2 linked regions of the Caenorhabditis elegans genome follow. The protein of the gene in region 1 interacts with the protein of each later gene in a pairwise test. Each region holds a gene or a part of one and is shown on either strand. Other genes may lie near its edges.

Region 1 (4,470 bases):
CCTAATTCTGCACTCACTTCACCTTTCCTCGGTCGTTTCACTATATTCTATACTATCCATTTATCATTTCTACAACTACTTTTTAACTTAAGATGACGCAGAAACTATCAGAAAATGAAGAGAAGGATGACACTGGTTACTATACACCGAAGAATATATTGAATCCTGCTATGTTCCGGTTCGTTTTCCCAATTTTGTAAATCAATGTACTAAATTGATCTAATCAGGCTGGCGGAGATAACTCGTGCCTTAAGCGAAGTTAATATGGAAGTTGAAAAGGAAAAGCTGTTTGATGATAGAAGACATACTATAAATGTGGACCAGTTCACCCGAGAAGAAATTGATATCAACGAAAGAAACAATGAATCTCCAGATGCTATCGAAATTTTAGATCGAAGGTGAGGAGCAAGCTCAATCGAATACCAAATATTACTTCCAGATCTGAGAAGCAACACTGCAAATGGACCACGAAGCTGAAGAACAACGAGGACACAATAGCCAAAGTCTTGATTATTTGCCTCATTATATCTATCACTTTATTAATGTTAATGCTGATTTTCTGGAGTTGAGTTAACAGAGATGAACGTTGTTTATCAGTTTTCAATGTTTATTTATTTCATAACCCATTAAAAAGTAAAGAGTTGATAATTTATTCAAAAATCAACAAGATAAACTCAACAATGAAGATTTACTTCTTCTTTGGTGCAGCCTTTTGGGCGGACTTGGTGACCTTTCCAGAGGATCCATCAGACTTCTCAACGGACTTGATAACTCCGACAGCGACGGTTTGTCTCATGTCACGAACGGCGAAACGTCCGAGTGGAGCGTAGTCGGTGAAGGATTCAACACAAAGTGGCTTGGTTGGGATGAGCTCGACGATTCCAGCATCTCCAGACTTGAGGAACTTTGGGAAGTCCTCAACCTTCTTACCGGTACGACGGTCAACCTGAAAAACAAATTGGTACATAAACGAAACAATAAGACAAATAAGTTACCTTCTCCTTAAGCTCGTTGAACTTGCAGGCGATGTGAGCGGTGTGGCAATCGAGAACTGGAGTGTATCCGTTGGAGATCTGTCCTGGATGGTTCATGATGATGACCTGGGCGTGGAAGGTGCGAGCCTCCTTGGCTGGGTCTTGCTTGGAGTCGGAGCAGACGGATCCACGACGAATATCCTTGACGGAGACGTTCTTGACGTTGAATCCAACGTTGTCTCCTGGGACGGCCTCTGGAAGAGATTCGTGATGCATCTCAACGGACTTGACTTCAGTGGTGACGTTTTGTGGAGCGAAGGTAACGACCATTCCTGGCTTGATGATTCCGGTCTCAACACGTCCGACTGGAACAGTTCCGATTCCTCCGATCTTGTACACATCCTGGAGTGGGAGACGGAGTGGTCGGTCAGTTGGGCGTTGTGGTGGAATGATGGAGTCGAGAGCCTCGAGGAGGGTCTTTCCGGAAGCGTTTCCTTCCTTGCGCTCAACGGCCCATCCCTTGAACCATGGCATGTTGGAGGAGACCTCAAGCATGTTGTCTCCGTTGAATCCAGAGATTGGGACGAATGGAACAGCCTTTGGATTGTATCCGATCTTCTTGATGAATCCAGAAACCTCGTTGGTGATCTCGGTGAAACGGGCCTCAGAGAATGGTGGCTCGGTGGAGTCCATCTTGTTGCAGGCAACGATGAGTTGCTTGACTCCAAGGGTCTGGGCAAGAAGAGCGTGCTCGCGAGTTTGTCCGTTCTTGGAGATTCCGGCCTCGAATTCTCCAGTTCCGCAAGCGACGACCAAGACGGCGCAATCGGCCTGGGATGTTCCTGCAATTAAAGTTTTATAAACGAGCTAAAAATTTAACAAAGTCGTACCAGTGATCATGTTCTTGATGAAATCACGATGTCCTGGGGCATCGATGATGGTGATGTAGTACTTGGCAGTCTCGAACTTCCAGAGAGCGATATCGATGGTGATACCACGTTCACGCTCGGCCTTCAGCTTGTCGAGGACCCAAGCGTACTTGAAAGATCCCTTACCCATCTGAAAAAAATCGGGTGAGAAAATCTTTCAAACTAGTTGTTTGTACTATTTACCTCCTGAGCCTCCTTCTCGAACTTCTCGATGGTTCTCTTGTCAATTCCTCCGCACTTGTAGATCAAGTGTCCAGTTGTGGTGGACTTTCCGGAGTCGACGTGTCCGATGACGACGATGTTGATATGAACCTTTTCTTTTCCCATGGCTGCTACGGAGTGAGCAAAGTGTTTCCCAACTGAAAAAAAAACAATTTAATTTAAAAGTAAGAAGAGTGCGGACGGTAGAGAGAATAAAAGTCGAAAAAATTATCCTAGAAACTTCTAATATTTTTAAAAATTAAAAAAATATAAAAAGTGAGGTCACAAATAAGACAGTTAGAACATTTGTTGAAAGCCTAAAATAAAAATTCGACTAAACAGTGAGAACAGGAAAAACGCTGGGACTGAATGTTTGACCTCATTATAAATTCATAAAATTTAAATTTCCTAATCTGGATAAAAACAAAGATAAAAACAAAATAAACCAACAAAAAACCAACATGATTAGTCAGATGACCAGAAAACTCACGTTAATTTCACAAGGCCCAAAAAAATCTCTCCCCCTCTCGTTGCTGCCTGCACATCTAACTCCTAGCACGAAAATGTACCGTACACCATTTCAAACACTCTCGGCGGGAGTGTTGCATACTTTTTCTCTCTGGCAGTTTATTTTCAATAAATTCTTCATTTTTATATTGTATAATGTCTTTATTTTATGAAAAATTCATTAATTTAACAGAAACAATGGAAGAACCAATGGAAGTTGACAATAAAAGACCAAAGGTGCTCACCTGGACAGAAAAATAGTTAGTTTTTTGTTTTTCGATTTGCAAAGTAAATTCAAATTTTCAGTCGTCCAAAAACGCTAGACGATATTGCATACCAGGATGAAGTCGTCACAATGCTGAAAGGAGCGCTTCAAGGAAGAGACGTATTGCTTAAAAAATTATTCAAACTAATCGTTTTAATTTTTCAGTTACCACATCTTTTGTTCTATGGACCACCAGGTACTGGTAAGACGTCAGCAGCTCTTGCATTTTGCCGCCAACTCTTCCCAAAAAATATTTTCCAGTAAGTGAAATACTGGGTGATAATTTTTTCCAATAATTATATTTTCAGCGATAGGGTTCTTGATTTGAATGCATCGGACGAGCGTGGTATTGCAGTTGTTCGTCAAAAAGTAAGATTGCCACTGATTTTTAATTAATTAAGAATTCCATAATTATAAAAACGTTTCCTGTTTAGATTCAATCCTTCTCCAAGTCATCTTTGGGCCACAGCCATAGGGAAGATGTTCTCAAATTGAAAATTATCATACTTGATGAAGTTGATGCGATGACCCGAGAAGCACAAGCAGCAATGCGCAGAGTTATTGAAGATTTTTCCAAAACTACTCGCTTCATTCTCATCTGCAACTATGTTTCCCGATTGATTCCTCCAGTTGTGAGCCGTTGTGCCAAGTTCCGATTCAAATCACTTCCAGCCGAGATTCAAGTTCAAAGGTGAAATTTCAAAATTAAGTGTTTTTTATAACTTTCGGTGTTTTTAGATTGAGAACAATTTGTGATGCAGAAGGAACTCCCATGAGTGATGATGAACTGAAACAAGTTATGGAATATTCAGAAGGTGATTTGAGACGAGCTGTATGTACACTTCAGTCATTGGCTCCAATTTTGAAAAGTGTTAGTTGTTTTTTCTATAAATATTGTGTAAAAATAGTACTTTATATTTCCAGGGCGATGACAATGCTCGAAATTGCTATCTCCGTGGTTCTTCGGACAGTTTACTCATTTCAAACGTTTGCAAATCAATCCTGACTGCTGATGTTCCCCAAATAATTGCATTGACAAAGGATATCACAAAATCGTGCACTGGTGTTGCTTTCATTCGTCGTTGTTTCCAACAGTTGATGGATGAAGATGTTATCAATGACGAGAATATTGGAGTAATGGGGAAACTGGTTGCGGTTGGTGGAAGATGAATACATAAATAGAAATGAAAGTTCAATTTCAGACTTGCGAAAAGCGAATTTTGGATGGATGTGATTTGGAAAACAATCTCCTCGACTTTCTGCTCACTCTTCGTGAAACTATCCAATGATAAATTAACACAATACGGTTTCAATTTGCCCATTGATTTCTCAACTTCAAAATTCACGTGTACTATATATAAATTTTAACATTCTATAAACAATAGTTTTGTGCTCAAATTTCGACAAAACATTGAGATTATTATATTTTTTTGAAGGTACAATTCGGCTTAGGTTTTTTTTCAGTTGAATACAAAATATCGAATAGGATAGTTTGGAATAAATAACTACTAGTTCCCTCCCAACTATTTTGCTCTCCGCTCAGTTTTTCACCCTCTGTCGCCCATCGATTTTCGCTCCTTGAAGACTCGGCTCC
Region 2 (6,519 bases), on another chromosome or scaffold:
TCGAAATCTTTCGGTAGCTCCTCCGGGCGCCAATTATCCTAAAAAAAGATTTTCTGGAATGTTTTTGTGTGAATTGAAACTCTCGAATGACGCAAATAGCCGATCTAATTATATTATTAACGAGCCAGACATTTTGTGTTTGAATGGGGTAGTGGCATTTCCGAGTATAAATCTCATTCCAGAATATATCAGCTCAAACCTTTTCTTTTTCCAGCTCAACTCTAACTGCTTCTTGTTCCTCCTGGGATATGCTCACTGATTTCAGGTCCTCCAGTTCTGTATACTTGATGGATCCGATACGAGCGATTGCAGATTTTATACTGGTGCTCGCCATTGCTCTGAAACGAAAATTTAATTGAAAAGCTTCATTTTCTATTTTCTTTGAAAAAAATCGAACAATTTTCGACCTTTTGTGGGTTTTATTCAGGATAAATTGAGAATCTTTACACGAAAAGTGCCTTTGTGCCAAATAAAATTGAATTTTTTTTTTGAAAGTCTGGAGAATCGAAAAATTACTATAATATTTCGCGATTTTTTTTACGAGGCTCGTCATTATTTGGGTCTACAAATATTATTTATCGAGAAATCTACTCCATGTCAAGAACCAGCCAAAAATAATTTATGATTCGGATCTTCTTTTTTTACACGGAAACATTGAAAACGGGATAATGGTTAAAAGATGCAAACGGGAAAGGTCCAATAAATACGAAAAAATCAATTAGACAGGTTTATAGTCGAGCTTCGTCTCAAGTCTCTTCGCGTCTCCAACCTTGCGAACAGCTTTCATAAAGTCCTCGTCGATAACGAATTCACGCTCAGCACGGATGGCAAACATTCCTGAAACAAAAATGATAATTTGAATGCAATTTTTATGATTCAACTCCTCACCAGCTTCTGTGCACACATTTCTTAAATCAGCAGCCGAGAATCCGTCGGACAACTTGACAACAGCTTCAAAATCTATTTCGCCGTGTTTGGTGATCTTGTTCGAGTGAATCTTGAGAATTTCCAAGCGAGATTGTTCGTTTGGCAGTCCGATTTCAATCTTTCTATCAAGTCTTCCAGGACGAAGAAGAGCAGGATCCAATGTATCAGGACGATTCGTGGCCATAATAACCTTGACTTTTCCAAGCGAATCGAATCCATCGAGCTGATTGAGAAGTTCCATAAGAGTTCTCTGAATTTCACGATCTGCTGATGTTCCTTCTGAGAAACGTCTTCCACCGATCGCATCAATTTCATCCATGAAGACAATGCATGGCTGATGGTCACGAGCATAATTGAACATTTCTCGAATCATTCTTGCAGACTCTCCGATATATTTATCAACAATAGCAGACGAGACAACTTTCAGGAAATTGCAATCCAGTTGCGATGCTACAGCACGAGCAAGGAGAGTTTTTCCTGTTCCCGGTGGACCAAAAAGCAGACATCCTTTCGGGGGAGTGATACCAACACGTTTAAAGAGTTCGGGATTGATGAGTGGGAGCTCCACAACTTCACGAAGCTCGCGAATCTGCTCAGCGAGTCCTCCGACATCTGAATAGCTAATGTTACCAGGATCTTCGTGAGACATTTTGTAGACTAGCGGATCAACTTCACGTGGCAGCTGACGCCTGAAACATTTCGGTTTAAGACTTTTTGTTTAAAAAACTAAAAGCTTACATGATAGTAAGAGTTGTCATATCCAACGAAACTCTTGTCCCTTGCTTCAACTCTTCCTTGTTAATACTGCGACGGCATCCGACAACATAACGAGGACCATTGGTTGCCTTGACGATGAATTTCTCTTCACTGAGCTGCTTGAGCACTTCTCCTACAATTTGTCCAACAGATTGCAACGACTTGATATCGTTCTCGGATTTGTCAAATTGTTTGGTCATCTCGCTTTCTTTTTTTCGCAAGTCCTTCAACTTCTGTTCAATGTCACGGCACTCTGCCAATTTTCTTCTATAGCTGTTGAGCGCCTTAGTGCGTTCATCCTCTACGATGGCGGGACCAGTTGGTTCAACCATGTTCTGGAATTCAGAAAATATCTAGTTTTGAATGAAAACATTTTTTAATCTGTATAAGATGTAAAAATCTGAAAAAACGAGGTTCTCATGAGGAAAGAACGTCAGAAATGAAAATCAGAATTGAAATTGTCATCGTGTCCAACAGAGCGCAGTTGATCGAGTCCGCAATCTTCCGCCTCGGTGTACGTGCACACAATGCACAATATTTCACGACAGAAGAATAGTGTTGTTTTAATTTATTTTTTTCTAATTAGTTTAAAGTTAATTTTTCTTGCATCTGCCGTGATGTCGCAATTCCCAGAAGTTTTAGACAATAATGTAAGTAATACAATTTAAAATTTTCGACTTCCCAGCAAATGTTTCATTTATTTCAGCTTTTACACGCCGAAAACAACGAAACTGCCGAATACATACAAAATGATGGGACAAATCAATCAGAAGTGTTCATGGAACATCCCTACACGGTGAATAAAATCAACTCGTTTTAAAAACTTATTTATTTTATTTCATTTTAGCCGAACATGCATCCAATAAATATGCCTTCTATTGTAGAAGGTGCGGTTCATCCTTATAATAATTTAATCCATCACAATGATGCGATACCACCGGCAAAGTACGCCTCGATGAGACAAATGACAGAAGATTTCTGGCGTGAAAAAAAACAGAAAATGACTGAGATTTCTGAAGAGGATATGCTGAACAAGTCGAAAAACATGAGCGTTCCCATGGCTAGAGTGAAAAAGATTATGCGAATAGACGACGATGTTCGCAACTTTGTGAGTAGTGTCATTTTCCAGCCGATCTTCATACACTTTTTACAGATGATCGCGTCTGATGCTCCGATATTTATGGCTCAAGCAGCCGAGTTTTTCATTGAAGAAATGACCGCAATGGGCTGGCAATACGTGTCAGAAGCAAGGCGACGAATTCTTCAAAAAGCCGACATAGCAAGCGCAGTGCAAAAAAGTGATCAGTTCGATTTTCTCATCGACTTTCTACCTCCGAAAACGGTGCCAACAACTTCCACAAACGGCCCAGGCCATATGAGTGAAGACAGTTTCCAAGGTTTTCGGTTTTTTTCCTAAATATGATTTTTGTGCAATTTTTAACCTTTTATAGATCCCAACATGCATTCCGACTTTCACCAGAGAACTTCAAATTCTTCAGTCAACCGATCTCACCACAATTGATCTTTATAATAATATTTTCTTGCTTATATTATGTATTAAAATTAAGTTCGTGGCGCCTGGCGCCCTTTAAAAGCTTGAATTTATACCTTTTTTGTCTAAAAATACTGTGTTTCATATGCACATTCATATATTTTCTTATTTCTTTGTTTTTCATTTTACAGGCTTTTACTTTGAAATCTTTAAATTTGAGGCGAAATGTGGTTGTCAAGTGAGGAGCTGAGTGCGAAGAAGACGGCTTGCCACGTGAGAAATGTGGAATCCAACAAAGAATTTGCAGATTCTGATATCGTTGCCTCATTCGTGCACAATCGGCCAAAAGATTTGAAAAACGTTTGTTCTAAAGCACCTTCTTTCAAATGAAAATAAAAATCCATTTTAGCTGACATTCGAAAGACACGGAAAAGGAGGACGTAAAAAAGCGCCAATATTCAGCGTAAAAGGAGATATTAGCGAGCATGTTGTAGAAGTTGGGGCAGATGTTAATTGTCTTGATGAGGGATTCGATTTTGCTGTTGCTTTGGTTGATAAGGTAATTTTGAGTGTATTTTAGCTAACAAATTCACTCTTTCAAAGGCTGAGTACCGAAACCTGAAAAATATTTTGGTACTAGTTCTAAATCACCCCGCCACTTTTTTTCTTTTTTTTCAAATAAAAACGTGTGGAGTTTTTGTATTTTTAGGCTTAGGAAATAGCCATTTCTAAGCCTAAAGATGGAAAATGGACATCACGTTTTATTAAAATGAATAATATTAAAATGAGGGGAAATAATACACAAATAAAAAAAGTGGCGGGGTGATTTAGGACTAGTACCAATATTTTTTAATGACTCCAAATTTTCCCCTGATTCCGAAAATCTATCAAAAAAAAATTTCACTGACTTTGGATTTCAGCTTGAAATCCCCGAATTTCATTTGTGAACCCTTGAGATTTTTCAAACGCTCCAAAAATTTTTTTTTAATCAATGAAAAACGGAAATCAGCATCCGATATAGATTAAAAATTTCGTAAATCGACACATGGCGTCTCTGAGGCGAAAAAAGTTATTCATGGGTGGTGCACAAATGAAATTCGCCATTTCAAGCTTATATAAAAAATATAGAATATAGAAAATCTTTGAATTTTTTTCACACAGATTTTCGGGTTCAAGGTAAAATTTGGAGTCATTTAATAATATTTCTCAGATTTCTGTACTCCACCTTTGTGTACTCTTGAAGGAATATCGAATTATGTATTTGAATAAGAATATTTTTTAAAAAAACTTACAGAGAACTGGAGAAGCAACATATCGTCCTGCACGATTCTATTCATTCGAAAGCAAGTTCTCAGAAGACATTGAGAAGATTTTCAGTGACAAGAAGGAATCGTCGTCTGAAGAATACAAAAACGATTTTTCAATTGGAGCAGAGAAATGGGCTGAGAAACGTCGTCAATTGACATCGAATTTTGGTTCTTCGAAGAAAATTAAAATGGATGAAGCAGCTCAACGAAGAACTATTAATCAAGAAACATTGGACGAAATGAGAAAGACCGCGTTCGCTTCGAATTCGAACGTTAAAACTGAGGATGGTGCTGCTGACGTGAAGTTGGAGAATATCACAATGATGAATAAAGCCGAATCATCAATTCTTCCACCTGCTGTTCAAACGGAACTTTCACGAGATATCTATCCAATTTCCTTGTTCCTTGAAGACATTGAGATTGACGCAATTGAATCGATCGCCACTGAACTGATGGAAAAGAAGAAAAAAGAGAAACTTGAAGCTGGAATTCCAGAGTGTGTTACTCTTATTATGTACAATGAAAAGACCAAACAACGTGCAGCCGCCTATCTTTTACTCTCCACCATGATCGAGATCCTCACAAAAATGGGAAAGCAAAGACAGTTGCTGAGAAAAGATTTGAGTGAGCTAAAGATGCCCGATATTCTCCGACAGAAAGTTCAGGCCCAGTTTTTCAATGATAGTACTAATGAGAAGGGGTACACTGGACGTGGAGCCGAACGAATCCGTCTCAATGTTACCGACTATGATCGTTTTATCGCGCACACACTTGCATTGGCATTGACATTGGCACCCGAGCACAAAGTACCGATTACTCCATTTCAACAAGCTCTTAGTTATCAGCCTAGTAAACTTGAGAAGGTAAATCCCACTTGAAAATTTTGCTTTGAATTGTTTAAAATAGTCTAAAATCCAGAAAAAATGAACCCAATTTTGTGCATGAAACGTGATAGAAAGATTCGCGTACTTTTACTTTTACAAGATTCGCGTACGCATAATTTTGAAATTATTTATTTTATTTTTTTCTCTAAACATTCTCTAAAATTAAGCACATTTTCAAAGAACTCCAACAAGAGTTTTATTCACCAAAATGCCCCATTTTCAGATGTTCCAAGCACTAGGTGCAGACCTGATTCGTCTCGATGTGGCGTCTGCTCAAACTCTTCGTTCCCTCCGTGCCGCGATTCTCTTGAAACCTCCGAGTCTGGAACAGAAAGGGCCCAGAAAGATCATTCGGCGATAAATATTTTACTTATTTTTTCTTAAATCTTTTCGTTTTCCTCAAATTTGTTTTGTTTTGTTTTCTAAAATCGTTAAACTTGTTTTGTTATGAATTTCCGTTATAATCTTTATTTTTTTCTATCTTGATTTTTGGAGGGATTCGGATTCAAACACCAATCAGATTTCTAATAATTTGTATTTCAAATTTAATTTGATTACCTTTGTTACAGGCATATGTTTTCTAACGAAGACCCAGGACAGGAAGGAGCAGAAAATGATGATGTATTCATTGGTATGCATAGTTTAATAAAAATAATTGAAATTTCTAAATGTAGATCTAAAATATAATTTCTAGAATCAAGATTTTTACTTTTTTGAGAAAAATATTGAATTAAACAAATAAAAATCGAATTTCGAAATTTTAAAAAATCACAAGAAAGTCTTATTGTTTGGCACGGGTTCCGAAGAAAAATTAAAAATTATTTGATTTTGCCTATTTTTTCGTTTTTTCTCGGTGTTTTTCAAGAGAGAATATCAAATTTAAAAAAAAACTATATTTTCAATTAGGTATTTAATTTTCGACCTTTAACCGTAATTTCCTCTAATTACCAGGATATTTCAAACATCTTGATTTCAGAAATGCTGGATGAATTTTCAAATGATGTACCTGGTAGTTTTTTTGAACGTGAGCCCACAAAGGATACAACGACCGCTCGAACAATGCACTTTTTGTTGAAAAGCATTGTTGGCCAACTCAAAAATCCGATAAACACCGAAGCAGAAGCTATTGCTCAGTGGCTCATCTACAAACAAA

Evidence for each region.
Region 2: the proteins of eef-1A.1 (region 1) and rpt-4 interact in a two-hybrid assay, tested with the Caenorhabditis elegans proteins (2 studies listed by BioGRID).

Annotation. Positions count from the first base shown.
Region 1 is NC_003281.10:6,969,451-6,973,920, forward strand, and holds eef-1A.1 (Elongation factor 1-alpha), read right to left. Parts: upstream 2,263-4,470; 5' UTR 2,231-2,262; coding exon 2,087-2,230; intron 2,034-2,086; coding exon 1,865-2,033; intron 1,817-1,864; coding exon 996-1,816; intron 947-995; coding exon 689-946; 3' UTR 576-688; downstream 1-575. Other genes in the region: F31E3.12 (uncharacterized protein), read left to right, coding at 93-178, 228-398, 440-569; rfc-4 (Replication factor C subunit 4), read left to right, coding at 2,810-2,871, 2,918-2,996, 3,042-3,136, 3,185-3,245, 3,311-3,567, 3,615-3,747, 3,801-4,031, 4,079-4,165.
Region 2 is NC_003280.10:41,645-48,163, forward strand, and holds rpt-4 (putative 26S proteasome regulatory subunit 10B), read right to left. Parts: upstream 4,489-6,519; coding exon 4,468-4,488; intron 3,735-4,467; coding exon of another isoform or gene 3,585-3,734; intron 3,536-3,584; coding exon of another isoform or gene 3,401-3,535; exon of another isoform or gene 3,396-3,400; intron 3,274-3,395; exon of another isoform or gene 3,206-3,273; coding exon of another isoform or gene 3,135-3,205; intron 3,081-3,134; coding exon of another isoform or gene 2,837-3,080; intron 2,792-2,836; coding exon of another isoform or gene 2,531-2,791; intron 2,480-2,530; coding exon of another isoform or gene 2,390-2,479; intron 2,334-2,389; coding exon of another isoform or gene 2,301-2,333; exon of another isoform or gene 2,263-2,300; intron 2,019-2,262; coding exon 1,666-2,018; intron 1,617-1,665; coding exon 889-1,616; intron 838-888; coding exon 719-837; 3' UTR 563-718; downstream 1-562. Other genes in the region: F23F1.10 (Reverse transcriptase domain-containing protein), read right to left, coding at 1-38, 200-334; Nuclear transcription factor Y subunit nfyc-1, read left to right, coding at 2,301-2,333, 2,390-2,479, 2,531-2,791, 2,837-3,080, 3,135-3,205; rpoa-49 (RNA polymerase I associated factor, A49-like protein), read left to right, coding at 3,401-3,535, 3,585-3,734, 4,470-5,345, 5,590-5,727; C23H3.5 (Nucleolus and neural progenitor protein-like N-terminal domain-containing protein), read left to right, coding at 5,940-5,997, 6,343-6,519. UniProt on the Caenorhabditis elegans protein: The 26S proteasome is involved in the ATP-dependent degradation of ubiquitinated proteins. The regulatory (or ATPase) complex confers ATP dependency and substrate specificity to the 26S complex.